Styela clava: one gene and its partners. The protein of the gene in region 2 purifies or fractionates together with the protein of the main gene of each other region. This does not show direct contact. Links are inferred from orthologs where the notes say so. Each region holds a gene or a part of one and is shown on either strand. Other genes may lie near its edges. The genes, in order: iron-sulfur cluster co-chaperone protein HscB-like; succinate--CoA ligase [GDP-forming] subunit beta, mitochondrial-like; succinate dehydrogenase [ubiquinone] flavoprotein subunit, mitochondrial-like; succinate--CoA ligase [ADP/GDP-forming] subunit alpha, mitochondrial-like.

Region 1 (7,387 bases), on a different chromosome or scaffold from region 2:
TAAAATCTTCTCACCTGTTCATTTAGTTCCATGATTTCCATCAAAAATTCAGGATTGCTAAGTTGAGTTTCTTCATCAATAGTAATGCCTGAACAAATGAATAAAAAACAAGAAATAAATCCAGAGGCTCATCTACAGCACATCACAAAACATTTGATATCTCCGCAAACAGGAGGTTCATACAAAATAGGCCACTGTGAGTTTTGGACAAGTTATGCGAATGGATACTAACTTGATCAAAAATATCCTGAAACATGTCAATAAACTGTCAAATCGTAGTCAATAATGGGTTAAATTTCACAAGTTTTATAATAAATCAGTGGGTCCAACCACTTGAAACATCCAACATTTTTTTAAAGGTACAACAAAGGTGTGCTAAATTAGTGAGCTTATTTTGACTCCACAATAGGTGTTACATGACTGCGAAAGAAAAAATCAAATCAAATCATGCACTTCCTCACACAAGTCCAAAACTGTATTAATTTAAAATAACTCTAATAACATTAACCAATTTGTCATGTCGTAACAGGTATCACTGGTTAATTAGGACTATTGCACAGGTGCACCATAAAATAGGCTACTGTATAGAAATTGTCTATTGCTAATAAAAAAATATATCTTAGGCAGTGTGTATTTGTATATAGCAGTGAAGTACAGTAATTGCTTCTGAAGTTTTTTTATTCCAATTTTCCTTATTTTAGTTCAATTACGTGTTCTGGCGGCGACTAGCCAAGTGACTCCTGTAGTATTTGTACCTGAAATTATGGCTCAACCCTAACCTGGTACACATACTATGTTCCAATGTTCGCCATCTTGGTACGCATACTTCATGAGTGCCGCAGTGGGTAATATTTATGAGAAGTTGTATGAAAAAAAATAACGTAATTTGAATCAGGCAAGAAAACATTTTCTTTCATTTCTTCTGCATTATGAATGAATTTAAAAAAATGTCGATAAGATCAGGTGGAGCCAAAATGAAATAAATTACTCATCTGAAAACGACACACAAATAATCAGAGGTTACTAAATAAAGCTGTGATAAAAGTAATTAGTTAAAGAAGAAGCCATATATCCTGGGTGCCAATGGGCTTGGAATTTTCACATGCGCTCTGAGAAAAAGATTTATTTCAATGATAAGCATGTGGACATTAGGTTGACGTCTCCTTACTTGCAAAACACTTTCAACTGTCACAATAACAGTGTTTAATTTATGCTCTTGCTTTATATTCTCTTTCCTTACCTCTCTGTTTAAGCATATAAACTCCTCTCGATAACGGGTCCAGCAGAGTTTTATATGCAACATTTAAAAGTGAAGATATTTGAGCGGAGAGATCTTTCTCCCTCGCACCTTGTAATGAATATTTGTCTGGATGAAAAACACGCTAAAACACAAACATTTTGGCAAATTGACATAAAAAATACTTGTTATATTTGCATGATCTCGGAAACCAGTGGAAAATCTAGATATGGACACATCAGTAAACATGCCGATACAAAAAATCATGAAACATAATACAATAATAGGCAACAAATACAGCCACTAGCAACCACTACGTCATAATAAAAATTGAAATCTGTTCATATCAGACCAAAAACAGGAGGCAAAATATCCATTGCAGATTCAGAACTCTGAAAATGGTAAACATAAAACTTATGGCTGCTTACTTGCATGTCTTTAAAATCTTTCTGAAGTTTCAAAGTTGAAATATCAAATTTTTCATCCATGTTGAATATTTCAAAAAATGTAAGAAATGTAGGTGGGAGAATAATTTTACAATGATTGCAAATAAATTTAAATCTTGAAGTTATTGGTCTCCTGAAACAAAATAATTTAATTCAATATTAAATTTTGAATAGACTCAATTAGGCCCTAAATCAAAATAAAATTATTTATACCAACAAATTACTTGAATTAACCCTTATTATGTCAATGTCAAAGTTTCTTCGCCAGAATGGCTGCTCAATGAATTATCTTCAAGTTTGGTTTTACCCTTTACAGTAGGCTAACATTCAATACAGCACCATATACAGATATAGCATGTGGCATTCAGGACCTGAGATGTTCAGGAGGGGTTAATAACTGGTTTCTGTGCATATATTTCTGTGATTGATTCATATGAGTGTTTATAGTATAGGCCTACATAGTCCAGCAGCTAGAAAAAATTTAAAAGTATTCGATGCTGAAATACGAAGTGAAAAATTGAAACTGTTACACTTACCCGCATTTCCAACATATTACTTCGTTTTCGTCAAAACTTCCATCAGATGAAGTGGAGAATCTATGGGAACCTCTGAATGAATATTGTCTTTCAAGAAGAGTAATATAGCTTTTTCTACCATTTCTCAAGATGAATGTTTTGTTACGTGTCGAAAACAAGATATTCACTGAAAAACAGGCACATTTGAAACACTTTTTCAGAAAGCAGTCTAATAAATTGTACTCATACCCACGCTTCTCCCAGGACCAAATAGCAGTTTGCATCCTCGATTGATTGTTTCAACATTCACTCCACCAACCATTCCGATAAGGGTGAACAGTCTTGTAATTCGTGGATTCATTGCTGTGAAGTGGACAACTACCGGTACTAACCAGGTGTTTAGACACCTTGCTGCAGCTACAGGCGTAACTGTCACGGGATAAAATTTGACCGCGGAAATTTATCATGGACTCCGTAATATTATTGCAGTACGGACCTTTCCCCGAGCATCGACTTCCTTGTTTACTTCGTGACATTGGCCAATCAGCAAATTGCAAAAAGTGATGTAACAATGCTCCTTTTCGCATCCGCTCAGACACTTTTCTCACTCAGACAGATTTTTAAGCGTGGTCGTAAACATTATCTCGTTTTCGCATTTTTGAACTCTATTCGTTAGTTTTCAGTTGTGTTTTGTAAAATTAAATGTAAATCAAATAATTTAATGGTCACCCCGTCTTCCTGGTGGTTTTAATTTAATTGCAGTAATAAAAATTAGTGTAGAAATAGCTGTGATAGACTAGGCTAAAATTCTTTAACGGTACTTTTAAAAAACAGATTGTTGTATGCCATGAATCATAATGATAGTTTGAAACATATACCTCATTTCACAGGCGCCAACTCGCAAAAGCACTCTTAAAATAGCCCCGAAAAATTTTGCAATGGTAAAGTATAGGAAGAATTTTTCGGGGGTCAAAGGTCGGGGAAAGGTCCATTATTGTGTCATTCTTGAAATCCATACATAACCTTTGACCTGTTGCGATTTGATGCAAAAAGAGGTGACGACTGCGATTTCCTGCTCTGGACAGAGACAATGCAAAAAATCTATGCTCTGAACGCCGACGCGATTAAGTCTGACTTGCAATGTTTCTTATGATTACTGAGACGTCACGGTGTTTCGTAGCGGGAACTAAAAGATACTATTTGAAAAAACAAAATGTATGGACCTTTCCCCGACCTTTGACCCCCGAAAAATTCTTCCCATACTTTACCATTGCAAAATTTTCGGGCTATTCTAAGAGTGCTTTTGCGAGTTTGCGCTTGTAAAATGGGGTATGTGATTCAAACCATCATTATGATTCATCGCATACAACAATCTGTGTTTTAAAAGTAACGTAGAGAATTTTAGCCTAGTCTATCACAGCTATTTCTACACTGATTTTTTATTACTGCAATTAAATTAAAACTCCTGGAAAGACAGAGTGATCATTGAATTATCCGACTTATATTTACGTTTCCTAAACACAACTGAAAACTAACAAATAGAGTTCAAAAACGCGAAAACGAGGTAATGTTTACGACCACGCTTAAAAATCTGTCTGAGTGAGAAAAGTGTCTGAGCGGATGCAAAAAGGGAGCATTGTTACGTCACTTTTTTGCATCTTGCTGATTGGCCAATGTCACGAAGTAAACAAGGTAGTCGATGCTCGGGGAAAAGTCCATTCTGAGCGGTATGTTAGTCGTTGATTCTGAGGCATTATGTCATTTGAGTAAAATAACGTGTCGAAAATAGAAGGGATGGTTGCTTATGAATACAATACAGCAGGCCGATGGTAGCAGCTCAAAAAGAATGCCAAAGTGAAGGAAAGTCATCCTATTTACTTCTGCAAAAGTTATAAGGTAAAATTGGTTATAGCTGTGATCATTGATAATGGAAGACTTATGTTGTAAAAGTAGGCTATATCACATTTTTTCAGATGTTCACGATTTGAATACCGATAATTACAGCAGAACCCCTCCATGCTCGAGCTCATACAACAGTCATCATAGTTGCTGTATAATTAAAAGGAGGGAAGGATTTACATATTTATCCCGAGGAGAGAAAAGCCGATAAAACGGCTCAATCATATGGCGGACCACGGCATGTACATGGATCATTTGGTTGAAATACAAACCACCGTTCTGTAGATAAATTGTATCTGAATGATGGGAACTTGGCCACCCCTGGTGTGAAGATAGACATTTTGCAAGTCATCCATTTTCCATGGTTGATTTGGGACTGGAAGGCAGATTAAAAATGCTACTCCTCAAAATGTACACTTCCACGTCGCCTAATATTAAGCATTCACAGCAATGACCTGAAGATTCAAATGGAGTCTGGACGCTATGACTATATGATTGTGAATGTAACTGCATGTCGTCTTGCGCATAGATTTTGTCCACCTGACCTGGATGCATATTCCCATCACCCACTTGTAGTAGTAGTATATATTTACGGTAGTACTCATTACATAGTAATTGCAAAAAATATAAAAGAAGATTGATAATACTTTTTAATATATTAATAAGCTATATTTACTTGTGCTAAATAGTAGAAATGATCATACACAATAATACTACAAGTTAATTTTTCCTCGATCTCATAGTCACGCTCAAGTCAATTGAGCAGATCAGTTTTTCAAAAAAATATACCAACATAAATATTTACAATCTGTGGGTGAGATATAATTTGTTAAAAATATGCATAAATACAAGAACACAATACAGTAATAGTAGTTTTTCCTCTGTTACTAATTATATTTTGGCTGTCTCCAAGGTTCCAGGCAAGAGTAGATAATTGAAAGGTTGCTAGCTAATAATTCAGTATTTCCTAGAGGTTTTACTGGATTGGTTACGGTTCATTCATTTACAACATTTGTAAGAGCTTCTTTGACATCACAAACTTCTTGTTCAAACAATTCTATTAGAAACACGGCAGGGAAATGCTAGTACAGAAGTCTGTAATTGTCAACTTGATATACCTTACAGTAGTCTGATCAAACAAACCCCTTTACTGTCCCAGTATGTACCCCGCAGAAGTTTTTTAAGATATTCTTCAGTAATTGGCTTGGTATTTCAATCAGTGTACAACAACTGTGGTGATTAGGTGGTAAGAGCTCAAGCATGAAAGTCTTCTCCAGCTGCAAGTGTTCAAATTGTGAATATCTGTAAACAGAAAGTGATATACCTACTCTGTAATTGTTTGTGAGCACAGTTTTTATCTAGCATAACGGTAGTCTGGTAGTGTTTTTGGGCCTACTTGTAAACAATGAAGAAAACTCATCGAATCTTACCTTATAACTGTATAACTTAAAAAACGAATACTCTTGTTGTATCATCCTTTATGAGCTACATGTATCAATATTATACAAGTTATTGATCTCATGGCATCTCAGACTGGATTCAGTAGCAAGTGCACGCCCGAGAGCGCTAGCGCTCCGCATAAATGCACGCGAGCGAATTCAGTTTTGCACGCCGAAAATTTGCAATTACTCACCAATGAAAATCGATTTAAAGGGTTTTTAAATCAATAATCCAGTAATATAAAGATGCAAACAAATTGCAGCTCCATAATTATTGACTACATACTAGCTTGCAAGCTTGATTGAAAACAGCGACCCAAAAAAAACCATATTTCATAATTGCTTGGCGGTATTGGTATGGCGCATCGTGTTCAATGATATCCCGTGATAATAGTTATAGGCGAAAAGATCGCCAGACTCCTTGACGACGCTGGTCAGTTACAGCTCTGATTCAGCATAGTTATTATTCAATAATTTTACGCGGATGTAGTGGTACTGAACAGTAACGGTATCTAAAGCCGCACAAACACTCTCAAATAATGACAAAGTATAGAAATAATGTTTGGGGTCAACGGTTAAACGTTCATTTTGCTCTAATTCGACGTATTTTTGAACATGTCAGTGAACATAACGATCGCTTCAATATTATGTTGTTGTTGTTCTTGTTCTTTGACACGTTTTTTAAAGAGTCCCTTTTATTTTTAATTACTAGACCAATTGCTTTGAAATTTTTAAGAATAGTTAAAGATTCGTTTTTTATGTGTCAGAATAAAACATAGCGACACCTTGTGACGTGTGAATAATGTTTGGGGATCAAACGTCAATTTTGCTTTGATTTAACGTATTTTTCACCCAATAATTTAACGTAAAAACAATCGCAAAATTAATGACAAAGTATAGAGGACTTGCACGGGTCACGTGACTTTGTTTACCGGACGGCAAAAAAACAAAAACGTTCAGCTGGATCCTGTCAGTTGCAAGTCGGATTATACGTTTCCGTTTTGTTTGGCTGTTGAAAATGGGTATTTTGTATTGTTCAGTTGGCTGTACGTATAGTATAGACTATAGAGTATAGACAACAAAATGTATCTTCAGTTATATGCCACGGTTTTCAAAAGATCCGGAACGTCGCGCAATGTGAATATCATCTATTGGCAGGACTGCTTGGTGTCAAGTCCAGAAGTCATCTCGCTTGTGTTTCACTGTTTGTGGACAGCACTTCGTTGATGGTGAGTGTAATGTGTCGTTATCAATTTCTTTAAATACTCCTAAGCTTCCTCATTTCAATGGAAAGCAGATGACAAACTACTGTTATTGGTAGGCATAGGCCTACTTGCAGACTTGAGGCTTGTGTAAGGAATTGGCATAAGGTATTGTTTCCCTAGTTAGCAGGCAAACGGCCCATTATCACTCACCATCAACGAAGTGCTGTCCGCAAACAGTGAAACATAAGCGAGATGACTTTTGGACTTGACACCAAGCAGTCCTGCCAATAGAATAGATGATATTCACATTGCACGACGTTCCAGATCTTTTGAAAACAGTGGAATATAACTGAAGATCCATTTCGTTGTCTATACTATACGTACAGCCAACGGAACAATACGAAATAATCCTTTTCAACAGCTAAACAAAACGGAAAAGTATAATCCGACTTGCAACTGACAGGAGCCAGCTGGACCTTTTTGTTTTTTTGCCGTCCAGTAAACAAAGTCACGTGACCCGTGCAAGTCCTCTATAAAAATAATGCTTGGGGGTCAAATGTCATACGTCCCTTTTTGCCCTGATTCAATGTATTTTTTATCCAATACAGGTAGTTTTACTAAAGTCAAAGTAAGTTGCACGCGGGCG
Region 2 (7,602 bases):
GCACTGACCACTATGTATCAACGGCTGCTACTAGCCTGGAGCCTTTTGCTCAACAGAGAGATTGGAAAAAGTTAGTTTAAAAATAGTTCATGAACTTTTGTATGAACAAACCTGGGTTTTCATAATAAGATGGGAGTACTGTGAGTAACTGAGTAGCCAGGGTTGTCCAAAACGAATCGAATATTCGAATGTATTCGAATATCAAAGTATTCGAATACCTTTTCGGCTGATTTTCGAATAATTCCGAATAGTTGTCACTTTTCGCCGTAAACGTGGTGTTTCGTTTTACGGGAATCTTTAAACGACTTTTTACGCTGTTTCACGTAATGACGATGAAATAGAATCGGCACTTTGTTTATATTCTTTGCGACAGTACGTCGCATAGTGTTGTGAAACATTTGCACGTGGACATTGCCGACATTCGTGTACGAGGCTTTTAATTTACAAATTCATTTCCATTACGTCGAAAAATTGAGAAAGTATGTTTATTTTATTTCTATGTGGCCTAATTATTATTCGCATGAGTCTTCTCAAGCATGATTTGTGTAACCTTATATTTGGGTCCTAGGGTCTGCCAATCATGATATTTATTCGCAGGCCGGTTATAGTTACTTTAAAGAGAAACACGGCCACCGCGATAAAGTGATTTGTGACCCTTTCGTTTTGCTGATTCAGAAAAACAGGACAGGGACAGGAAAACACAGCTGTGAAATAACCTGTGGACGTACAGTGTAGTACTTATCATCACATTCCAAAATTATTTCAACATTCGGGTTAATAGGTTGTCCAAAATGATTGTCGCTTTACAACTTAAATTTACCGCTCAATTGTTAAAAATAGTTAATTCTGTGAGTATGATTCTACCAAACTAACATGATCTGGTTCTGAACATATAAAATTATTATCGAATTTTTCGACCCGTCTTATTGGAGGCCTATATGGAAAAAAACCTTCTTTGAGTGCTAAAAATAGACATCGTCCTATTTGCCATGTGCACTTATTAGCCGGGAAATACGGTATTTATAGCCGTCATTGTTACGATATCCAATAAATTGTCACAAGTTGGAAAAACAAGTCGATTTATTAGAAAATAATTTCTGGCAAATAATTCTGATAACGATAGTTAAAAGTATTCATCCTTTACCAGGATGATTTTTTGTTGCGCAAAATAATCCAATCCATGACTGGTACCAGCATTTAAAATGTCATGCCGTATTAATTTAATTCTGTTCAACGTAACTCATGGTTGTATCGACAATCTGTGGACATAAAATGTGTAGTAAACTGACCGATATTATTAAATATTGATTCCTATTTTTATATTGATAAAATAATGAAAGTATTAATGCCAAATACAACGGGTATTTGTGGACATGGAATAGGTGGTAAACTACCCAATTATAATTAATTTCAGATTCGTGTTTTCAAAATAATAAAACTAATAATTTTAAAATGCAACGGCGATCTGTGGCCTTCAAATATGTGGTAAACTGCCCGATTTACCAACATTTGAGTTATGATAATAGAATTAAATTAACACGGTAAGGCATTTTAAGTAGTGGTATCGGTCATGGATTCGAATATTTTGCGCAGCACAAAATCATCCTAGTAAAAAGTCCATACTTTTAAATACAAACCAATGGGAACCATTATCCAAATTAGTTCCCAAGAGCGGAATAAAATATAAACTTGTGACAATTTTTCGTGAGTACTAAAATAAGAATTAAAACTAATTATATTCGGCACAATATCACGACAATCTGTGGACATAAATTGTGTGGCAAACTCGCGATTAATATTAATTTTTGATTCCTATTTTCGTATTTACAAAATACAACGGCGATCTGTGGACTTACAATGTGTGGTAAACTACCCGATTATAAATAGTTTTTGATTCCTATTTTCATATTTATAAAATATTAAAAGTATTATTACTCAAACATACAACGGCGATCTGCGGACTTAAAATGTGTGGTAAAGTTCCCGAATATAATTAATTTTTGATTCGTATTTTTGTACTCACGAAAAAATTGTCACAAGCCGGAAAAATACCTCATACTTTATCCCGCTTTTCGACAAATAATTTGGTTATGGTTGGTATTTAAAAGTATGGGCATTTTAAGAGGATGATTTTGTGTTGCGCAAATATTCAAATCCATCATCGATACCACTATTGTCGTATTAATTTATTTCTGTTAACATGACTCATGGTATATAAAATATATACTGCAATAATCTGCAAATATGATATGCCTGGTAATATAGCTAGGTTGTAACTTGTAGATAGCAGTTATTCCATTGCTTATTGTATGGAAATTCCTACATACATTTAGATAAGCTTCAATTGGTGGATTTTATTTTCGAAGTATTCGAAATTTCATATTCGAAAAAAATAATTTCGAATGTATTCGAAATAGTGAACTATTCGGTATTGGCCATCCCTGCGAGTACACTATCGAAAATAATAACTTGCATTTTTAATTGTAACATTACAATACTACACTATACATGTATATTTACTAAGTTTTTTTAACAGTAAAATATTTGTTATGTTAAGATTAATAATTGTATAAGTTGATTAGAAAAGAAATTTGTATATTTGCTTTGATAAATTTAACCAATTCTGAGATAAAACAATGTTCAATTTGGCCCACGCTACATTCCATACAGTTCAATTTGATTGCTCCACAGAGTATATAAAATAAATCTTTGGAAAAAAGAATGTTACACCTATGTAAATGAAGCCAAGATAAATTACTGGCTGTAATTCAATGGCAAACATGTAATATAGCTATCTTTTTGTATAATTCAGTTTATTCGGTGGGTTAGTTAGAACTAGTAAATTAGAATCTGAATGCTTCATTATTAATTATAATTATGACAACTCAACAAAATTTGGCACAGCACCAAGAACACTCTTCTAAATTAGCCAAAATCAGCTTAAACTTTCAAACTAAAAATTTAAGGACTTACTTAAAATATTATGAAATAATAATGGTTATATTAAATTTACACAAATATGCTGAGCATGATCTAAGGAAGAGTAATACAGGCTTTCTGGTCCAAAAAGTGGGTGTGTCTGATTCCGGACATTCGATTCGAGCACCAGGGTGAAATAAATTGGGTAGGAAATGTTAGACCAGAAAGTTTTCAATCTTTCAAATAATTGTAGCTCACTTCATATCATTTATTCTACAAGGCATTGTTCGTAGCCAGATGCATGGATAAGCGTCGTAAAAAAGTATCTCACCTGGGAATTCACTCGAGTAAAAACTTGTCCGCATCTGGTGGCTCGTTTCAGAGCATGTCTGAGAGAAGACATTGTAAAAATAACTACTCAGTATAAACTATTTACACGGTAATTATTGGATGAGATCTAAAGCAAGAAATGTAAAATGCAATAAAAGTCTCAATATTTGGAACAACAAACATGTATGTGATGATCTACTTTATTAATTCATTGATCTTTAATAATTAATATGTCGGACGAAATCGAAAAAGCCCACTTGTTAGTCCAGCAAGGTCTAAGGTCAAGAACGCCATAGACATGTACAAACAATTTATATATTTGTTATTCAGTTAGAAAACGTTTATATTCATCTTCATTCAACAGATCCTTCAATTCATCATTATCCAAGACCTCCATTTTCAAAATCCACCCTTCTCCCCTTGCAGATTCGTTAATCAATTGTGGTTCATCCTCCAGCTTCTTATTTACTTCAACAACTTTGCCGGATACCGGAGAATATAGATCACTAGCCGCCTTGACGCTCTCAATTACAGCCATCTCATCGCCTTTGGAAAATTCAGTTTCGATAGCAGGAAGCTCACAATAAACCAGATCACCAAGTTGATCTTGAGCATGTTCTGTGATACCAATGGTTCCTATACCATCTTTCACATCTATCCATTCATGTTCTTTGGTGAAATATGTCGTAAGACTTCTGGATGAAATGTGTAAAGAGCGTTTGACAAATCCTACTGAAGTGGATGTCAATGGCTGATTGAATTTCCTCTGCAATATGTTTTTACTCACAATCAGAACTCGCTTTGATAAACCAATTCTAACCAATCTTTCCATAATTTCAAAGCAAGCATAAAAATCTGTGCCAGGGGGCACCGGCTAATGGACTAAAATTAATTACACTTTTGCTATAAAATGTTTGAAAATAGTCTCTTTTATTAATAATTATGCAATGAAAAGTATATAGCATACCCTCACATTATCAAAAACAAGACATTTCTGGATGGGATTTCTATATTATCAAAGAGAAGAGGAAAGCTAATAAGACAGCTCAATCATATAGCAAACCATGGCCTCTCATCCAATTACCAGTCCATCCATGTATGGAAATAGCAATAGGTACCCAATTATTAATTACCTATGAATGAACTTAATGGTGGTTATTCTTAAGCACAATATACATCATACACTTGTTCATATTAAACATCACTTAAAATAATCTGCAGTGGTTATCTGTTTATATTAAAACAGACTAAGGTCGTTACCGAAAACGCCAACAACATATTTGGACAAAAAAAAACGAGCATGTAAATTGTAACATATGTAAAATTTGGGAATAATGTTAAATTATTTTAAAGAATCAAACAAGTGCTATGAACAAAATATTGGAAATAAATTTACTTTCACATTTGAAACAAAAAATATAAGAAAAAATCAACAAAATTTGGTGTGAGACTACAAGACTCAGGTCAATGCAATTGTCTTCTAGGAAACAACTTTGGCTATTTCGAATTTGTAACAGATTGGTATAATAATGGGAAAAATCTGGTATTTATCATGACAAACAACATTTTATGAAAACAATACATGGATTTACTTTGAGTCCTAAAACTGATGCAAGACGGAACAATATTTGACACATTAATACAACAAATAATAAGGTATTCAGTTTTGAATTCATGTCTTTTAATACTGTTCATAACATCTGGAATTACACAATTCATGATGACATTCATCCAATAAGTGAGATTTGATTTAAAGCGTTTGGGATTTGAGACACAGAATGCAAAAAAATATAACACAGCATCTCTTTCAAAACAAACAAGGGCAGAACATAGTGATTTACTCTTTCAAACATTTTATGAAAATTTATTGCCTATTAAATAAATAACAAGCTCGCCAGCCTGTTGAATGTAGACAGGTACATAGGCCTACAAATGTGCAAAAATTAGTATTACCCTAGGCACGGAGGATCAGGTCAAACAAAGCATGTTTAAAATCGCAGAAGTGTGAAGATCTAACAAGAAAGAACAGTCGAAGTTATCGAAATTACTGTCATTCAACTTTTATAATACCTGGTGGAATATTTTCCTTTTAATAAAATTTTCAATTTTTATCGTTTTGACAAACACAATTTGTAAATACATTTAAATGCATACCTGAGAAGAATATCAATAGTTATAAAACAACATTTCCAGAAAAAGTATTAGCTATTTTTAATAAATTACAGCCTTGATTTCTTTGATTCCCATTTAAAAATTCAAATGAAAGTTCTCTAAATGTACAACAAACCCGGCGATTTTTTATATCTTCCCTTAAAATACCATGTTTCCATGAGTGTCGAGCAGGTCCGTGTAATACAACAAGAGACCTTGCACGAAGTGGTATCTTAACTTTTATATCAGTTGGATCGATCATACCAATACAAGGGAGATTTTTCCAGTTGATAGAACTTCCCCCCCAAGTCATTGTCAACCATGAGTCAGATAGCAAATTCAAAGTTACAAGTCTTTCACCCCATAACCAGCTATCATCAAAATGAGGGTCAATTGCCGAACCTCTTTCAGGAGAGTATTCAAGATTACAGAGTTCAACTGTCTTAAAGTCATTCAAGCCATTGATTGAAGATAATCTATCCACAGCAAACTTACAATAAGAGGGCAGTCCAGAAAACGAAGCAATTTTACATTTCTGTTTTTTAAAATTAACTTTTGGACCAAAGTCTTGTTTTCTTCTACCGGATTGCGACAGTTTCCATATTTCACCATCTATGGCATTCACCAATGCAATTTCCTCGGAATGAGATATGAAGTCATTAATGACAATCACACCAGGAAATTCGAAAAAATGTGGAAGTTCGTTAATTTCATTTTGGGTGATTGTCGTCAGTTCTGCACTTTTGGTGGCATGATTATAATAATAATGTTTACATTCTCTCTGATTTTGTGAAAGAGTTTCAGATTTATGAATCATTTCACATTTGAGGCAAGTTCTTATGCCTACACAAGCACATTCTTCGTTTTTGTTTTCTTCCATTTTCGAATTTCTGTAATTGGCATGATATCTCCTGAGCTCAGTATACAACATCCATTTGATGTACTTCTACACTAATACAATTTATTTCGACAATCTGAATACACAACACTCAATGAAACAAACAAATCATATAACAGGAATGCCTATAAAGCCAAGAAAAAATGAGTGGCACTTTTCACCGTGATCGAGTGAAAGAATGAATGTTCAAAAAGAACAGAACAATTTCAAAGAGTCTCTATAAGTGATAATCCTATACTATACTATTAGGTACTACTACATGAGGACTGTAGGGGTAATAACTGCTACAATCTCAAGCTACTGACCCAGCGATAAAAAAGAAATACAGCAATGTAATAATGAGAAACGTAGATCTTAACCCTCTGTCTCTATTATTTTTAAATTTACTCTATTATTATTATTTTATGTACCGATCCCCACGACTGAAAATTCAGAAAAATATTTGTACGATTGCCGTAAATAATGCAGTTAAAAATTCCGCTTATACTTTTCGCGTTTCTGACCTTGCGTGAAACGTGTCGCACGACTTGCAGAGGCCAGCGCACAGGCAAGATGACCGTTCTTGACAGCGAAACAGCGTTTATTAGCATAGCAACTTAGATAAGATTTCATTTCGATATATTCGCAAAAAACAAAAACATATACCGGTATACACGAAAGATTAAGACGAAGAATTTGGAAAGTGAACAAAACCTAATAAAATAAGTTTAAAACGTATTAAACGCGTTCACTCACCGAAGAAGGAAGAAAACAAGTCACAAACACAAACAAATAAACATGAATATTCACGGCCGTCATTACTCAGGCGTTTCACTTTGTAATCAGGTTGTGTGCAATTTTTTCAAAAACAAAACTAAATGCCCGCTGTGCGTGTTATGCGGCATGTAAACAAACAATCCGAAAAATCCTAGAATGAAGTACGAATGCATGTTTCCGTTCCATGCTCAAAAATTACTTTACTGAGTAATCGCGTATATCGTTGAAACATATTAAATATATACTGTATTGTTTCATTCCGGCTGGACAGGGACAATATCGCAACATTTATGAATTTGATCTACTCGAAACCAACAACTTTGACCGTGTGGTAAACAATACGCACTTCTCTGTACCTGGGCGTCTTTTCTTCCATCGATAAAACCGGCGGTGAACGCATAAAACTTGATAAATATGGTAATATTTTCCCATTTACAGATTTATCCAGAGGAGAGCCATATTGCGAACCCCCTTTTCCTCATCCGGTAAAACAAAATTCGCCGTTCGACTATTAGAAAAAATTGTTTATTTTACCTGCCTAACCTAGT
Region 3 (7,341 bases), on a different chromosome or scaffold from region 2:
TAGTTGAGTGAACCAATGAAGCAAAGTTTAAAAGTACATAAAAAAATATTATTTGTCAGGTAATACTTTTACAATGTTATATAAGAGTATAATGACAATCAGATAAACAATTTGGGCTTTACTGACTGCAAGAGAAAACAAGTCACGATGTTATGCTAATTAACCAAGATCTTGAGCAGATGGGCTTAGAATTTCAATGTGGTTAAATTCCATGAATTCGTACAAAGCTTCATGAACCATCTCAAACATAAGAAAAGTAGTTTACTATATTGTGCAGGTTACGAACAAATACAGGTCATGCAATTAGCATGGCACACTTTACATAATTCAAATCACTGGCAAGAATGCAATAAGATGAGGACATGAAAAAATTGAAAAAAAGTATTATTATTACAGGTATAGGCCTAGCAGAGCAAGCGAGTGCTGAGGCCACATCATTTGGATGCAATCACAGCAGACTGGTAAGGTGACAGCAAGAATTTTTTATATTTTGTTTTGAAAGTTTCATAAGAAGAGTCACGTAAGATTTGGGGAATACTATTCCAAATTACAACACCCTTATACTTCAAGGAGTTTAGGGACTTGCTTAGCGAAAATCTGGGAACAAAAAAATTCGATTTTGTCGAAGAGCGTGTGTTATGCTCATGCACATTACTGAGAACAGTGAAATAATCAGCGAAAGCTGCAGGCAATTGGTTGTTGTGGAACTGGTGCATAATCTTAGAAATTTCTAATTTATAGATGTCAGACAATTTTAGCACCCTGGCTTTATGATATAGGGTGTTTATGTTTGAACGAACTGGTGCTCCGGAGAGAATTTTAACAGCCCTATTTTGTAAAATCTCTAATTTACGCAAGCTAGTTTGAGTAGCGGAGCCCCATGCAGCTAAGGCGTATTGGATATGTGATTGAAAAAGAGCAAAGTAAATAGTCCGCAGAGTTGGGCTCGGCACATAATACTTGAGTTTTCCCAGAATCCCTACTGATCTGGAGAGTTTCTTGTACATTTCAGTGATGTGGCTGTTCCATTTGAGTTGATGGTCAATATGAAGCCCAAGATATCTATAAGACTGGACGATTTCTAGTGGAATACCATTAATTTTAATTGAAAGACTTGAATTTCTAGTCCGGCTTTTAGGGCTGAATAACATGACTTTGGATTTTTCCACATTTACAGTGAGTTTATTGCATATCATCCACTCATATACTTTATTAATTCCAGTGTTCACTTTGGCTTGGAGTGTGATCAAATCCTTCGCACTATCGAGAAGGCAGGCATCATCGGCAAACAATTTTGTCAGGAAATTAGAGCTGTTCGATAAATCGTTTATAAAAAGTAAGAAACCAATGTTACTTTCAGAATCTTGTTGAAACATAATTCCTAATGAGAGCTAGTAGCCACTTGACTTCCAACTTCAATATCAAAAAGTCAGAACAGAGTCAGAAAACTTGAAATCAACTCCAGACTGACAAAGATTTGACTAGAACTACTACTATCACAAAATTTACACTATTATCACAGTTGAAAGTATGAAATTCCAAGTCTGGGGACAAAATTTTTGACTTTGACTCCAGAACATGGGCAGTTTTTAAATATAACATCAGGTCCAACTCCATGGCAAACTTGGATTCCTGGTTTCAGACCTAATAAGAGCTTTCCCCATCAAAAATCTCAATAATTTATCCCTACATGTATCTCAAAATGGTTAAAAATAAAAGATGAAGAATGAATAAGTCTCACATGTGCCATTTCCAATTATCTTCTTCCATGTTACCAAGAGCTGCATTTATGCCACCCTGTCAGAAAGAATAACAAGATTCGTTATTGATATGATACAATCACTAGTAAAACAAATACACTGGAACCAGGGTAAGAACTAAGGGACACGAACCTCCGAACTACATGAAATATCACATCTTGATAACAGAAGTTCAGAATGTACAGGTTCTCTACACTGTTAATAAGAACGCTTAATAATATTAGTGCTTTTTGAGTTCCAGTGGTTAGTTTTGAAATACTTTAGCAACATAGAGAGTCTGCAATTCCGATTACGCGAAAAACATGTCGAACCTGGTAGAAACCAAAAAAATGGAAAAAAGGACTCAAACCTGAGCAGCCACTGTGTGAGATCGCGTTGGGAATAGTTTCGTGACGCAAGCTGTTTTGAAGCCAGCTTCTGAAAGTCCAAAAGCAGCTCGAAGACCAGCGCCCCCCGCTCCAACAACAACAGCATCGTATGTGTGGTCTATGACTGGATACTCATTCGACATCTGATCTCGTTTAACAAGTGTATTTGTCTTGCTTGAAGTGTGGAACTGATTATCTAATCCAGTCGTAATGCATGGTAGTACATTCAGACCCTTGAAAAATTAAACATTTTGGGTGAATAAATCATCTTATATACATATTTAACTTATACTTTATACATATAAGTTTATTCAATTATAAAATTTTCCGTAGTAGGCATGATGACCTAGTGTTCAAAGGGCTGGACATTAAATTGACATCACAAGTTAAAAATCTCAGGTTTGAATCCCATTCCCACAAAGTCACCCAGAGTGTGATGAATTAGTAGGCGTTGTCAAACTGGAAAGACCAATTGTGAAATATAGTAGCTTTACCTAGCAGACGTTGCTTGGGGTATAGTATAGTACCACAAGTACTTCCGGTGAGCGTAGCATAACAAATTTCGCATTTGTTATTCCCGACCCCCACCTGACTATGCCATCCAAAAGATATGTCACTACGACATCACAATCACACAACCATCCATGCATTTTGGAGGTCTTTATTACGCCACTATGATGTCGTAGTAGTGTAATTTTTTGGTGACGTAGTCAGGTGGGGGTTAGGAATGACATATGCAAAAATTGTTGAGCCAGGCCAACTAGAAATGCGTGTGGTACTAAACTATACCAGACTCGTTGATTGTCCAGAGCCATTATCGGAGTGATAGGGCGTATAAATATATCATAAAAATAAACAAGCTGACTGTTAGTGGTAAAAATATACTGAAAAATTAATAGTGTGATGCCTAATTGTCATAATAAATTCTGCATTTCTCAATTTGTAATATTAAAAGCTATCAAATCATTTGAAATTCTAGATATCTGAATATTAAAATTAGTGGCAGTACAATTTAAAAACTTCATATTTGAATGGAATTGAACATTTTCAATACTTACTGTCGATCTTGTTAAACCCACAGCAGTCTTTGATGTTATTCTTAACAGTGACGATGCCATAATTTTGGCGGAACTGATAAATGTTAGTCTATACAAAATATGATCTGTGAAGAGCAGATTAAAAGAAGGCCTGAGACTTTGACATTTAATCTCTACTCTTTCATGTTTACCCGTATTGAGGGAGGCGGACGAATCGACTGCACGGACAACTCATCAGAGATAGCCTATAAAAGACATCATCAGCAAAAAACAAAGTCGAACCCAAAGATTGAAACCTTGTCGTGATGAGTTGACCTACACCTGATGTCAGTCGGCACTAACGCCAGTCGATAAGCAAGTACATTACCGTACGCAGTTACGTGAGTTGTCTGTCTCTCGAGCATCGATGTCCAACTTCAAAGTCCCCCTTGCCTCATCCTTCCTGTTAACCCTGTCCCGATTTCCCCTGTCTAAAACAGATTGCTGAGATAATATGGTGAACGGATCATTTTTCCATGTCGCCAACTACCTACTGTCCATTTGAAAAAGCTTGAAAATCCATACAAATATAAGAGATAAAAAGATGAAACTTGGCAGGTGGGTAGAGTTCTGTTTCTTTTAACCATCTTTGAAGTTTCGCGTTTCTACATTTAAAGGAGGGGGAATAGGGGGGTGCGCATTTCCAATACGTCGATAATAGCATTGTCAGATTGTCGACCAATTTGCGACCACCGTGTTTTTGTTTGTTTGATTGCTGTAATGCGGTGCTTTGTTTAAAATTTGACGAGTTTTGTTCGAAATAACCTTGTTCTTAAAATATATGACAGTCAGATATGCAATTAGAAGCTAATTTTTTTGACGCATGGCTGCGTATGCCCTAGTCTCGACGCAGCAGAAATGATGTTCAAGGCTTGAAATCCGTGGTCGCACACTGGTCGTTCGATCGCAAATAGGCCTTCAGAGTGTCGTACTATGGTGGTTTGTATAGCTTTAACACCTGGTCGTAGAAAGTTAATTCGAGGTTTAGAGTGTAGAAGAAATACCCATGCACCTATGGTGAAAAAATTAACAGGTTATAAATATTGGTTTTTGTTTTATAGCGGTTTGAATGAAATCGTCTGCAGACTGGCTACACTACCCTACTTCTAGTTAGCCTGACTCAAGCATATGTCAATCCTAACCCCCATCTGATTATGTCGCCAGAAAAATACGTCATTTAAACGTCACAGTGGTGTAATAAGGCCCACCAAAGTATACGGATGGTCGTCCAAAACGCCCAGAAGATCACCCAAGCTATTTCTCTCGTTTTCTCGTCACAACGATCGCCATAGGAGAGGGATCGCCGGCGTTAGGGAGTTCGTTATCGGCGGCGCAGATGCCATTTCGGACGATCGTATTATACTTAAGCAACCCCCATGACAGTATGACGTGATGGTGACGTAATTTGGGTCTCGTGTAGTTTTGTACCTAACGTACTTCTAGTGGGCGTAGCATAACAATTTTTTGACATGTCAATCCTAACCCCCACCTGACTACATCATCCAAAAATTACGTCACGATCACGTTATAGAACTTGCCAAATACACGTACGATCGCCCGAAATGACATCGGCGCCGACGATAAAGAACTAACTAACGTCAGCGATCCTATCGGGATCGTTGCGACGAGAAATATAGCTGTTCGATTTCAGGTTCTCGTCTGCGCGTCTTGGGTGACAGTTTGTATAGTTTGAAGGGCTTTATTATGTCACTGTGACGTCGTAGCGACGTAATTTTTGGATGGGGTAGTCAGGTAGGATTGATAGGTGAAGGATAGGTAGGATGTTAGGATTGATAGGTGAAAAAATTGTTATGCTACGCCCTCTAGAAGTACGTTAGGTACGAAACTACACGAGACCCCACTCAAACAATAAAAACATCCTATTGACCAATATTAGAATATCCAAACCCGTCATACACCATAAAATCAAAAATAAACACTCTTGGTACCGGTACCCTTCTCAAGAACTAACATTAATTAACCAGACACAAGATAAACCTAAAACACTAAATATCCAACTAAAACAACCACAACTGTACTGCTGCAAACCACAGCTTAGGCTGATGGGACACCAGAGGACAGATGGACAACACTAAAAGGCTGAAGGAAGAAACGGATGAGGTGGAGGGAAAACGGAAGTTGAAGTGTTCCCAAAGGTGAAAATTGAAAAACACTAAAAAGCTGAACACTAAAAGTAAGAAGTGGATGAAATTTCTTCCGACGGGTAGTTAGGTGGCTGAAGTCACTGAAAAGCTGAACACTGAAAAGAAGAGATGGAGGAAATTTTTTCCGACGAATAATGAGGTGGTTGAAGTCACTAAAAAGCTGAACACTAAAAGGAAGAAGTGGATGAAATTTCTTCCGACAAATAATGAGGTGGTTGAAGTCACTAAAAAGCTGAACACTAAAAGGAAGAAGTGGATGAAATTTTTTCCGACGAATAATGAGGTGGTTGAAGCCACTAAAAAGCTGAACACAAAAAGGAAGAAGTGGATGAAATTTCTTAAGAAGTGGATGAAATTTTTTCCGACGAATAATGAGGTAGTTGAAGTCTCTAAAAAGCTGAACACTAAAAGGAAGAAGTGGATGAAATTTTTTCCGACGAATAATGAGGTGGTTGAAGCCACTAAAAAGCTGAACACAAAAAGGAAGAAGTGGATGAAATTTCTTAAGAAGTGGATGAAATTTTTTCCGACGAATAATGAGGTGGTCGAAGTCACTAAAAAGCTGAACACTAAAAGGAAGAAGTGGATGAAATTTATTCCGACGAATAATGAGGTGGTCGAAGTCACTGAAAAGATGAACACTAAAAGGAAGAAGGGGATGAAATTTCTTCCGACGAATAATGAGGCGGTTGAAATCACTGAAAAGCTGAACACTAAAAGGAAAAAATAGATGAAATTTCTTGCGACGAATAATGAGGTGGTTGAAGTCACTAGAAAGCTGAACACTAAAAGGGAGAAGTGGATAAAAAAATTTCCGACGAATAATGAGGTGGTTGAAGTCACTAAAAACTGTATACTAAAAGGAAGAAGTGAATGAAGTTTCTTCCGACGAATAATACGGTGTTTGAAGTCACTAAAAAGATGAACAGTAAAAGGAAGAAGTGGATGAAATTTCTTCCGACGAATAATGAGGTGTTTGAAGTCACTAAAAAGCTGAACAGTAAAAGGAAGAAGTGGATGAAATTTCTTCCGACGGATAGTGAGGATGAGGAATACTTGAAAATTTAATATATTAGGAATTGGGTAATTTAATGTTTGTTTTGTTCGTATTTATGTGACAATGTCCTCGTGGATTCGTTTTTTGTTAATTTTTTATATGTTATGCTCAGTTCAAGCCTGGCGAATATTGAAGGCAATGACATTCTCGTTATATTTTTTTTAATTTTGATGTAATGTGCAAACAAATTACTATATATATATATATATATATATATATATATATTCATATCTAGCATTTCCTGCCGTATAATGGGTATGTTGCGCCACAATGGGTGGTTACGGCGAGGCATGTTTTGAAATAGATGTCTTGTTTTTCAAGACGCGTGAAGCTGATTTTGTTATCAAATCAATTTTTCCAATCAACAAACCTTGTAATTTATAATATGTTTGTGGCCCCCCTCAAAATGCCTCTGAGGCTTACCAGTGGCCCATGGCCCATTGGTTGAGAACCAGTGGTCTAACAGGACTTCGATTTGACTAATACATCATTATTCAAAGCCTTCGTGCGTGAACTGCTTGCAAAATTTATAAAAACAGATATTAAGTTCAAAGAATGAAATACGGGATCAAAAATTAATTATATTCGGGCACAATACCACGGCAATCTATGTACATAGATGTGTGGTTTACTGCGCGATTATTATTAATTTTTGATACCTATTTTCGTATTTACAAAATACAACGGCGATCCATGGCGGCGACGTTCTGGACATGCTGCGTATAAAAAATATTCGGTATTGGACTATTCGGTATTTGTTAAAAATATTCGAATTATTTGATTCGAAAAAAATATTCGATTTTGCCCACCCTTTTCTTGGCCGCCATAGGAGTATAAAAAACACGAAAAATTGAGAGTCACCGAGAAAGAGCTGCGTGTTTGTCTCTCTCAATTTAATTCCAGCCAGAATAAAAT
Region 4 (8,175 bases), on a different chromosome or scaffold from region 2:
CTGCAATTAGAGTTACGATGCATATTCGCAACGTTCAGCACGACGTTCCGACCGCCGAGCTCTTTTTCGTCTCCACCATATGCGGCTATGCCCGTGGACTCGTACAAGAGAATATTACTCTATTCGGTACTCCCGTAGTATGCGCACCAGTTTAGGCCATAATTTTCTTTCGATTTCTTCATTTAGTTATATTACGAGTTCGTGGACTGTCTGTGTTAGCCAAGTGAATATACCCCCTGTCCATAGGTTTCAGTCCCTTTACACAACTTGTAAAATAGGCGAACAAAATTAGTTACCTTCATATCGGTACACATACTTCTGGAGCACCCTCTACTCAATAGAGTACGGCAAGCGAAATACAGGAATTTCAGTACCTTCGGTATCCACATCACAATTTAACATTTTCTCAAGCTTACCGGTGTTCATCTTAATGGACCAAACTTTTGCGATCCTTTTGAGACCTCCGCTGATGTGGGCTACCAGGTAAATCTGCTATTTTTTACTCAAGTGTTCCCACTACAACTTTGTCCATAAAAAGGTAAACAGCCACGATAACCAAGTTGAGAGAAACTATATTCGAAAATCCTTGAGGGCTTAATAATCACTTTTGGAATAAATTACACAGAAAGAAATATATTTAATTTGTCACAAACTCACCACCAAGACAGGCTCAACCTTGGGATAAACGAGGTTATAAACAATTTATTAAACACATGACCTGGTTGAACGTTAAGCATGTATGGTTTATGAAGAAGATTTTCTTCCATAAAATTTGGTGTATTCTTCAATCATGGCAGTCCCCATTTGCGCAGGCGACATAGTTACGTTTACTCCAGCATCCCTGAGAGCAGCAATTTTTCCTTCTGCTCCCCCTTTACCACCTGATATGATGGCACCAGCATGTCCCATTCTTCTTCCTGGTGGAGCAGTTACCCCAGCGATGAAGGAAACAACAGGCTTACTATTTCTTCCCTGTGAACCAAGAAATAAAAGTCTGGCATAATATATCTAATACAAGATAACAATGCTCGGATATATATGGACACGGAGGTCCAATAACGAACCGTGGTACCATGAGCCTATGTGATTCACACTAAAATTCAGTTGAGCACAGAATTTGCAAAATCAAAATGGAAGGCAGGTGTGAATTTCATGATCGACAGAGTTTTCATGATTTAAAATAAAACGGAAAAGTTTCGGGTACAATATCGGATCTCAGGAAATCCCAGAGAAAATATTGAAAATAAAATAAAAAGCAGGCGCCATCACAAACATATGCTAATAATGATAACTAACCATATTATTTTCAATAAGATATTGTGCAGCTCTTTCTTCAGCACCGCCACCAATTTCTCCAATCAAAAGAATGCCCTCAGTCAAAGGATCATTTAAGAACACTTCCAGGCAATCAACAAAATTAGTACCATTAAAAGGATCTCCACCAATTCCTAGGGAAATATAAAATTATGAAAATTGAATAATACAAAAATTGTGTGCCTAAATAAGATGCAACCCAACATTTGCTATTTAATTAGTAACTCACCAACACATAATGTTTGTCCCAAGCCAACCAGTGTAGTTTGGTGCACTGCCTCGTAAGTTAATGTGCCCGACCTTGATACGATACCAATCTTTCCTGGTTTATGTATGTGTCCAGGCATGATTCCTATTTTGCAATCACCAGGCCTGATAATTCCTGGACAATTTGGACCTATGAGTCTTGTTTTACTTTGTCTCACCTGAAAGAAATAAAAATGTCTGAAATAAAACGAATCAATTTCTGAGGGATTTTGTGAAGCTTTGAGCGCCTCATTATTTACAGAGTGTCCGATTTACAAGCATTTAATTTATTGTTCGATGTTAAAAAATGGGTACTCCTGTAGAAAGTGTAGTGTGTGTACCAGCTTAAGGTTAGGCAATAATTTTTTTCCCATTTTTCTTATTTTAGTTCTATTACGAGTTCGGGGACTGTCTGTGTTAACCAAGTGAATATCCCCCTGCCCATAGGTTTCAGCCCCTTTGCACAACTTGAAGTAAGATAGGCGAACAAAATTAGTTACCTTCATATTGGTACACATACTTCTGGAGCGCCGAAAAATGTACCATAGCAAACTTGCCCGATACCAGTAATTAATGAATCCAATTGATTTCTACTTAATTTTGCGGGCATTGAAGTGGCAATAGTCTACGGTTTAGCATGAGTGCATATGCATAAGTACACAACATTGAATGCTTGCGTTGTAGCCCTGGTTAGCTGAGAAATAGTGGTGAGATAAATTTGCATCAAATATGATGGTAACTTAAAACAAAACCAGGTAGAACTCTATACTTAGCTGATAATTTACAGCCATGCCAGATGCAATACTAACCTTATACCCGGTTATTTAGCAAATTATTGTACAATGAAATATCCGATCGTATAGATAATAGTATGAGCATAAATTTTTGTAATCGCCAAATGAAGACGTACCAACTTGTGCTTCACACGAACCATGTCCTGTTGAGGAATACCTTCAGTGATACAAACAACTAATGGCACTTGCGCATCAATAGCTTCTATTATGGCTTCGGCAGCAAAAGGGGGCGGCACATAGATCACAGATGCCTCAGCCCCTGTCTCTTTCACAGCATCCTTCACTGATGCAAACACTGGAAGGCCAAGATGAGTTGTTCCTGCCTTGCTTGGTGACACGCCACCAACCATCTTGGTCCCATATGCAATCGCTTGTTGGCTGTGGAAGGTTCCTTGTTTGCCTAAAACGACAAGTCATATTACTGGTTTAAAAAATTTAAGAGATTGATACTATTCCATATTTCTACGAACAAAAATTATGTGAATATGAGGTGAAATTAATAAAACATTGTAGTACTTGCACAGCAGACAAAATGAGATACAGCAAATAATATTTACATATTGTGTAACCTATGCCAGGGATACTCAACTGGCGGACCGCGGTCCGGATCCGGACCTTTCGAGTATTGGATTCGGACTGCACCTAATTCTTTATTTTGGATCATTAGCCCCACTTTTTAAGTTTTCTTCTATAAAATGCCTTTTATGGTTTGAATATATATGAAAAAAAACTAAAATACCATAATAAACAATCTTGGGCTGTAAACTCAATTTACCTTAAAATCAATCTGAAAAATACAAATTGGAATGTGCTTGTGTACAATGGGTCACTCAATCAATCCAAATAATCAATTTCATTAGTTGTTAAAACAGATAATGAAACTTACCAGTAAAACCTTGACAGATAACTCTTGTACTCCTCTGGATAGCCATGTTCTTTCTTGTAGCATCATAAACAATAGAGCTTTCAGATCTCTTCGGAAGTACGAATCTTGTTTGTGGTAAAAGTCGTCTTGATAAAGCCACGAGCTGATGCGACATTGTGGATGCCATGGTATGTAAGCCACGTACCTAACCTAATGATAACTGAAAAAAGTTTGACAAATATCGTACTGAAGGCGGCAAGGTACGAGATAAAAGTCGTCTTGATAAAGCCACGAGCTGATGCGACATTGTGGATGCCATGGTATGTAAGCCACGTACCTAACCTAATGATAACTGAAAAAAGTTTGACAAATATCGTACTGCAGTACTGAAGGCGGCAAGGTACGGTACCTTACCGGTATCTAATTCTGTATCTAAATATGCCGAAGCCTGAAAGCATTAAGGCCTAAATAGCTATGGTCTTCCACAATACTATCCATGTTTCAACTGCGGCTTCCCGTCCGCGTCCCCAGTAGCCCACTAAAATTGCAAATATTATTTTCTCACTATCTGTGTATGATTTTTTTTACTGGTTGGAAAAAATAAACTTGACTTAGCTCACAGACTCAGTAAAAACCCTTGAACTGTACAACCTTCTATCAGTCTATTGCACAAAATTCTTCCAATACTGCAATAGTTTGCATGGTTTACAGATTCTATACCGGTACGGTACCGGTACCATTCTGCTGTTTCAGTGTTTCACGGCGAGTTAGCCGTCAGCCGTTGTACGGTACGGTGCGGTAATAAAAACTGATTATGAAATCAGGAGAGTGAACAAAACCTTGGACAAGGTTTAAAACGTACAAGATAGAAGGTATTGCCAAAAAGAAGTGGTACGTGTTCACTCACCTAAAACTGCAACTGCATCTTTGCGTTATGTCAAATCTGCAAGTGTATTTTAATCTCAGAATCTAGTGTCAAGCAACCACTCCAGTAAATCCTCAGTCGCCTTTCCTCAATGTATTTTATACCGTACAATGTACATTTAACATCACATCTTACACTTACAAGTCTGCCACAGTACGGTAACAGTCGGCTGAAACACAAGTGCTTCATAAACTGGCAAAACGGCCATTTCAGATTATTCTGCAAGGTCACACGCACACCACGGGAGTAGAGCCACTTGCGAACATATAACAGAATTAGGTGCAAAAATATGATTTTAATAGTTTACTGAGTTAACTATGGTTTCATTATACAGTATGTTGGAGCGCTGCTAGCCTGGGTCACCTGCCAGACTACTACGATTGCGACCCAGCCATAAGTCTGCGACTACACGTAGAGTATTTTCTATTAATGGCCAGGAAACCTCCGATCCTGTCAAAATAGCAGATCATTTTAACTCGCACTTTTCTACAATTGGAAATAAAATGATCGAACGGTTTACTTATACTAGAAAGAACGACTTTAAGCAATATATGGGACATCCCAGTAAAACCTCCATGTTCCTTGCCCCGACAACAGCTTTCGAAGTCCAAAATATTCTGAAACCTTTTCGACCCAAAACCAGTTGCGGAATAGATGGAATTCCCTTTAAAGTTATACGAATGATGCCCTGGTATTGTATTTGTGCTCTCACGCATATCTTTAATTGCTCCATACAATCTGGTAAATACATAGACCAGTTCAAATTATCTAAAGTTATTCCATTGTTCAAAAAAGGAAATGCAAAGGATGTAAAAAACTACCGACCGATCAGCTTACTTTCTGCATTTTCCAAAATTCTAGAAAAAATTATGTACAAGAGACTCAATCATTTCCTAGACCAAAAAAATTTCTTTTAATCCCAGCAATTTGGCTTTCGCCAAAATCACTCAACATGCCATGCAACATCTCTACTTGTCAGTAAAATTTTAGAAGGATTTGAAAAGAACGAGTATACTCTTAGTATGTTCTTGTACCTTTCCAAGGCATTTAATAGTATTGACCATGACATATTACTAGCCAAATTGCACCATAATGGTGTTAGAGGTTAGAGTTATAATTGGTTTGAAAGCTACTTATCAGGAAGGAAACAAGTAGTAATATACAATGACGTAGCATCTAGCCCATACTGTAATTTGACTGTAGGCACCTTACAAGGTTCTATTTTGGCTCCATTATGTTTTTCAATCATTATTAACGACTTTCCAAATTCTCTTCATCACTCTGATATCATACTTTTTGCTGATGACTCAACGCCATATCTTCGAGGCAAAGACTTGCCTGAACTTTTGACCAAAGCAAATACTGACTTGGAAAATATTCAAGCTTGGTTGTCTGCGAACAAACTCACTATTAATTTGGAAAAACCTAAATATATGGTATTTAGCGCGCCAAAGCAAAAGTGTCTAACACCGCAACAAAATCTGGAATTGAATGGAATAAATATAGAAAGAGTTAACCAGACGCGCTTTTTGCGTGTAATAATTGATGACAAATTGTGTTGGAAACAGCACACAAACCTGATTCTATCTAAAACAAGGTCTAGGTGCTATTACGAAAATAGCCAACAATTTAAATACATCCTGTTTAATATCCCTATACCACTCACTAATAGAAAGCCATATTCGATATTGCGCTTCAGCTTATGTTCATCGCCAAACGTCCATTATCAAAAAAATTCGAAGTGTATGCAACCGTTTTATTAGAAAAGTTTTCAATAGAGGAAATCGAGAAAAAGTTGATGACTTATTTAAAGAGTACCCAGATAGCACAACTACGTCGGAACAACCATGGCCGAACGTTGTTCGAACCACCGGCCCGATAATGGCGAACAACCATGTTCCAGCGAAGATTTGGCCGCTGGGCCAACGTCGGTCCTTTCGCTGTAATGCAACCGTGGCAAACGGTCGGGCCAACGTAGGCGATACGTTGTAACACAATCGTGACATATGGCCGGGCCTACGTAGGTGACACGTTGTAATACAATCGTGGCATATGGTCGGGCCAAGTTAGGCGATGTGTTGTACAGACAGTGAATGGATCTATACTACATAGAAATTTCCCACTAATCCAACATTATTTATATAATAAAAAACAAAAGATAACAAAATGTCTTTATTTTACAAATATGTATACATGTAATAAAATTAATCGGAGTTCGTTGCCAGATCATCCAGAGCTGGAAAATATAAAAATTCTGTGTTAAATTGCAGTATTAGCAAATTACAGCACCAGAGTTCAAAGCCTAGTCTGAATGACTGCATCCCAACAAATTTTCAGAGTAGGAATCTTAAGCCAAGTTTCTGCAGTCGCAAATGTGTGAGTGAAGCTTACATTGACAAGACAATAATAATCGAGAAATACAGAAGTTCTTGATTCCGCATAATGATGATTTGAGATTTTATCTGACTAAAATGTCTTCAAATATTCCTTGTTGAAATTCATCTATCGTATTAGAAACATCATGCACCATGATTAGTCTATTTGTTTAATTGATTTATAATAAATTTATTTGTAACTTCATCATTTGCTGTTGTGCTAGGGGGGGATGATAATGTAAAAAGTACTGTAAGGGAGCGATGATACAAATAAGTTCGAAAACCACTGTTCGCCATTATGCACTAAACTCTGGCAACATTGGATTGGCAATTTGGCACTTGACTCTAACCATAATCAGCTTGGCGATATCTCCTTAATAAATATTTTTCTATACTGTTCACTTTTGTATACAAAATCTACATTCAATTTCTTTACTGTTCACAGTTGTTTACAAAATCATTATTTAATTTGACAATCATCTACCCAACTTATCTAAATTTTCTCGCCTGTTTTTATTTTATTATATCTCTGTTGTTGTTGTGTGTGTGTAACTTAATTTAATTCATGAACACGATAGACATCTTTTTGGCAAAACCTTATATTCTTTACGCTTCTATCTTAATTAAGGTTTTGTTTTCACTCCAGATTGTCAGATTCTATTTAATCAATTTTTGTTCATTTCCCTTATGAATTATCTTAAGCTGATTTGGAGTCAAAATAATCTTATACTTATAAAATAGAAGAGGGTAGAGCAGAGAAATATGGTGGTACAATATGATAAACATATTACATACCTTCAATAGCAGAAACTAATGGCGTCCCACTCACTCCTTCTTATCCACCGCGTCCTGCACAGTTAAAAGAGCGGGAGAGTAAATTTGTTATAACTGAGCTCATGATTCTCCAATCCAGTCTTTCTTGGAGCAACCTCCGAGACTTGACAAATATCTTATCTGGAATGAGTAAATAAGCACAATTATAAGAATACATCTAATGAAAAGGTTTCCATCCGTTGCAAAAGCTCTATGTTAATTATCGTGAGTATCTACTCTAAAATATACACATATGTGTTTTGTCCACATCCCATTCTTATAAAAGTGAACAATTTTAATATTGCGATCGGATCGTATTTAGACATTTAAATAATTTTCCTTGAACACGAAGCGAAAATATGGGGCATATTGTATTTCATACATAAATTCGAAGCGCTTCATGCAGTCAAAAACAAAACGACAAAAAATAAAAGGCACTCAATAAGATGAGACCCAGCAAAGGTATTTTCACCTATAATTTTACTTTCATGTTCTGTTTAGCTTTCGAATTAATTATGGAGTAATCTGCAATATTTTAACATTGTACTGAAACTAAACAAATATTCTGAATCTCAGAGATTTTTACATCGTGGTCTTCATACGATGGCATGTGTTACCGATCAGCGAACTCTTTTAAATTAATTTTGCTTGCCCGCTGGGGTAAAAAAGGTTGGGAACCACTGAACTAAACAGTTAAGTGCAACCAGGTTACACCAACGCCCCACAAACTTACAGTCGATTTTCATCAGAATGATTAATTAGAATAAATTGATTTTTAATGTTTTCTCGTTGTGGGGTCTGTGTAGTCTGTAGTCTGTGATTTTACAAAAATTGGGGTCGCAG

Evidence for each region.
Region 1: the proteins of succinate--CoA ligase [GDP-forming] subunit beta, mitochondrial-like (region 2) and iron-sulfur cluster co-chaperone protein HscB-like purify together in Homo sapiens (affinity purification with mass spectrometry; 3 studies listed by BioGRID and IntAct, with this or other methods). This does not show direct contact. The link is inferred for Styela clava from reciprocal best matches to the Homo sapiens genes SUCLG2 and HSCB.
Region 3: the proteins of succinate--CoA ligase [GDP-forming] subunit beta, mitochondrial-like (region 2) and succinate dehydrogenase [ubiquinone] flavoprotein subunit, mitochondrial-like fractionate together in Homo sapiens (co-fractionation; 3 studies listed by BioGRID, with this or other methods). This does not show direct contact. The link is inferred for Styela clava from reciprocal best matches to the Homo sapiens genes SUCLG2 and SDHA.
Region 4: the proteins of succinate--CoA ligase [GDP-forming] subunit beta, mitochondrial-like (region 2) and succinate--CoA ligase [ADP/GDP-forming] subunit alpha, mitochondrial-like fractionate together in Homo sapiens (co-fractionation; 6 studies listed by BioGRID and IntAct, counting the BioPlex papers as one, with this or other methods). This does not show direct contact. The link is inferred for Styela clava from reciprocal best matches to the Homo sapiens genes SUCLG2 and SUCLG1.

What each region holds. Positions count from the first base shown.
Region 1 is NC_135253.1:534,399-541,785, reverse strand, and holds the start of iron-sulfur cluster co-chaperone protein HscB-like, read right to left. Parts: upstream 3,095-7,387; 5' UTR 2,560-3,094; coding exon 2,448-2,559; intron 2,386-2,447; coding exon 2,220-2,385; intron 1,817-2,219; coding exon 1,666-1,816; intron 1,383-1,665; coding exon 1,241-1,382; intron 89-1,240; coding exon 15-88; intron 1-14.
Region 2 is NC_135251.1:16,269,141-16,276,742, reverse strand, and holds the start of succinate--CoA ligase [GDP-forming] subunit beta, mitochondrial-like, read right to left. Parts: upstream 3,387-7,602; 5' UTR 3,323-3,386; coding exon 3,251-3,322; intron 1-3,250. Other genes in the region: glycine cleavage system H protein-like, read right to left, coding at 3,572-4,081; alpha-ketoglutarate-dependent dioxygenase alkB homolog 4-like, read right to left, coding at 5,423-6,331. UniProt on the Homo sapiens protein: GTP-specific succinyl-CoA synthetase functions in the citric acid cycle (TCA), coupling the hydrolysis of succinyl-CoA to the synthesis of GTP and thus represents the only step of substrate-level phosphorylation in the TCA.
Region 3 is NC_135261.1:7,416,500-7,423,840, reverse strand, and holds the start of succinate dehydrogenase [ubiquinone] flavoprotein subunit, mitochondrial-like, read right to left. Parts: upstream 3,349-7,341; 5' UTR 3,247-3,348; coding exon 3,187-3,246; intron 2,362-3,186; coding exon 2,110-2,361; intron 1,798-2,109; coding exon 1,742-1,797; intron 1-1,741. UniProt on the Homo sapiens protein: Flavoprotein (FP) subunit of succinate dehydrogenase (SDH) that is involved in complex II of the mitochondrial electron transport chain and is responsible for transferring electrons from succinate to ubiquinone (coenzyme Q).
Region 4 is NC_135257.1:15,449,255-15,457,429, reverse strand, and holds succinate--CoA ligase [ADP/GDP-forming] subunit alpha, mitochondrial-like, read right to left. Parts: upstream 3,439-8,175; 5' UTR 3,407-3,438; coding exon 3,241-3,406; intron 2,755-3,240; coding exon 2,471-2,754; intron 1,740-2,470; coding exon 1,544-1,739; intron 1,449-1,543; coding exon 1,297-1,448; intron 973-1,296; coding exon 745-972; 3' UTR 556-744; downstream 1-555. UniProt on the Homo sapiens protein: Succinyl-CoA synthetase functions in the citric acid cycle (TCA), coupling the hydrolysis of succinyl-CoA to the synthesis of either ATP or GTP and thus represents the only step of substrate-level phosphorylation in the TCA.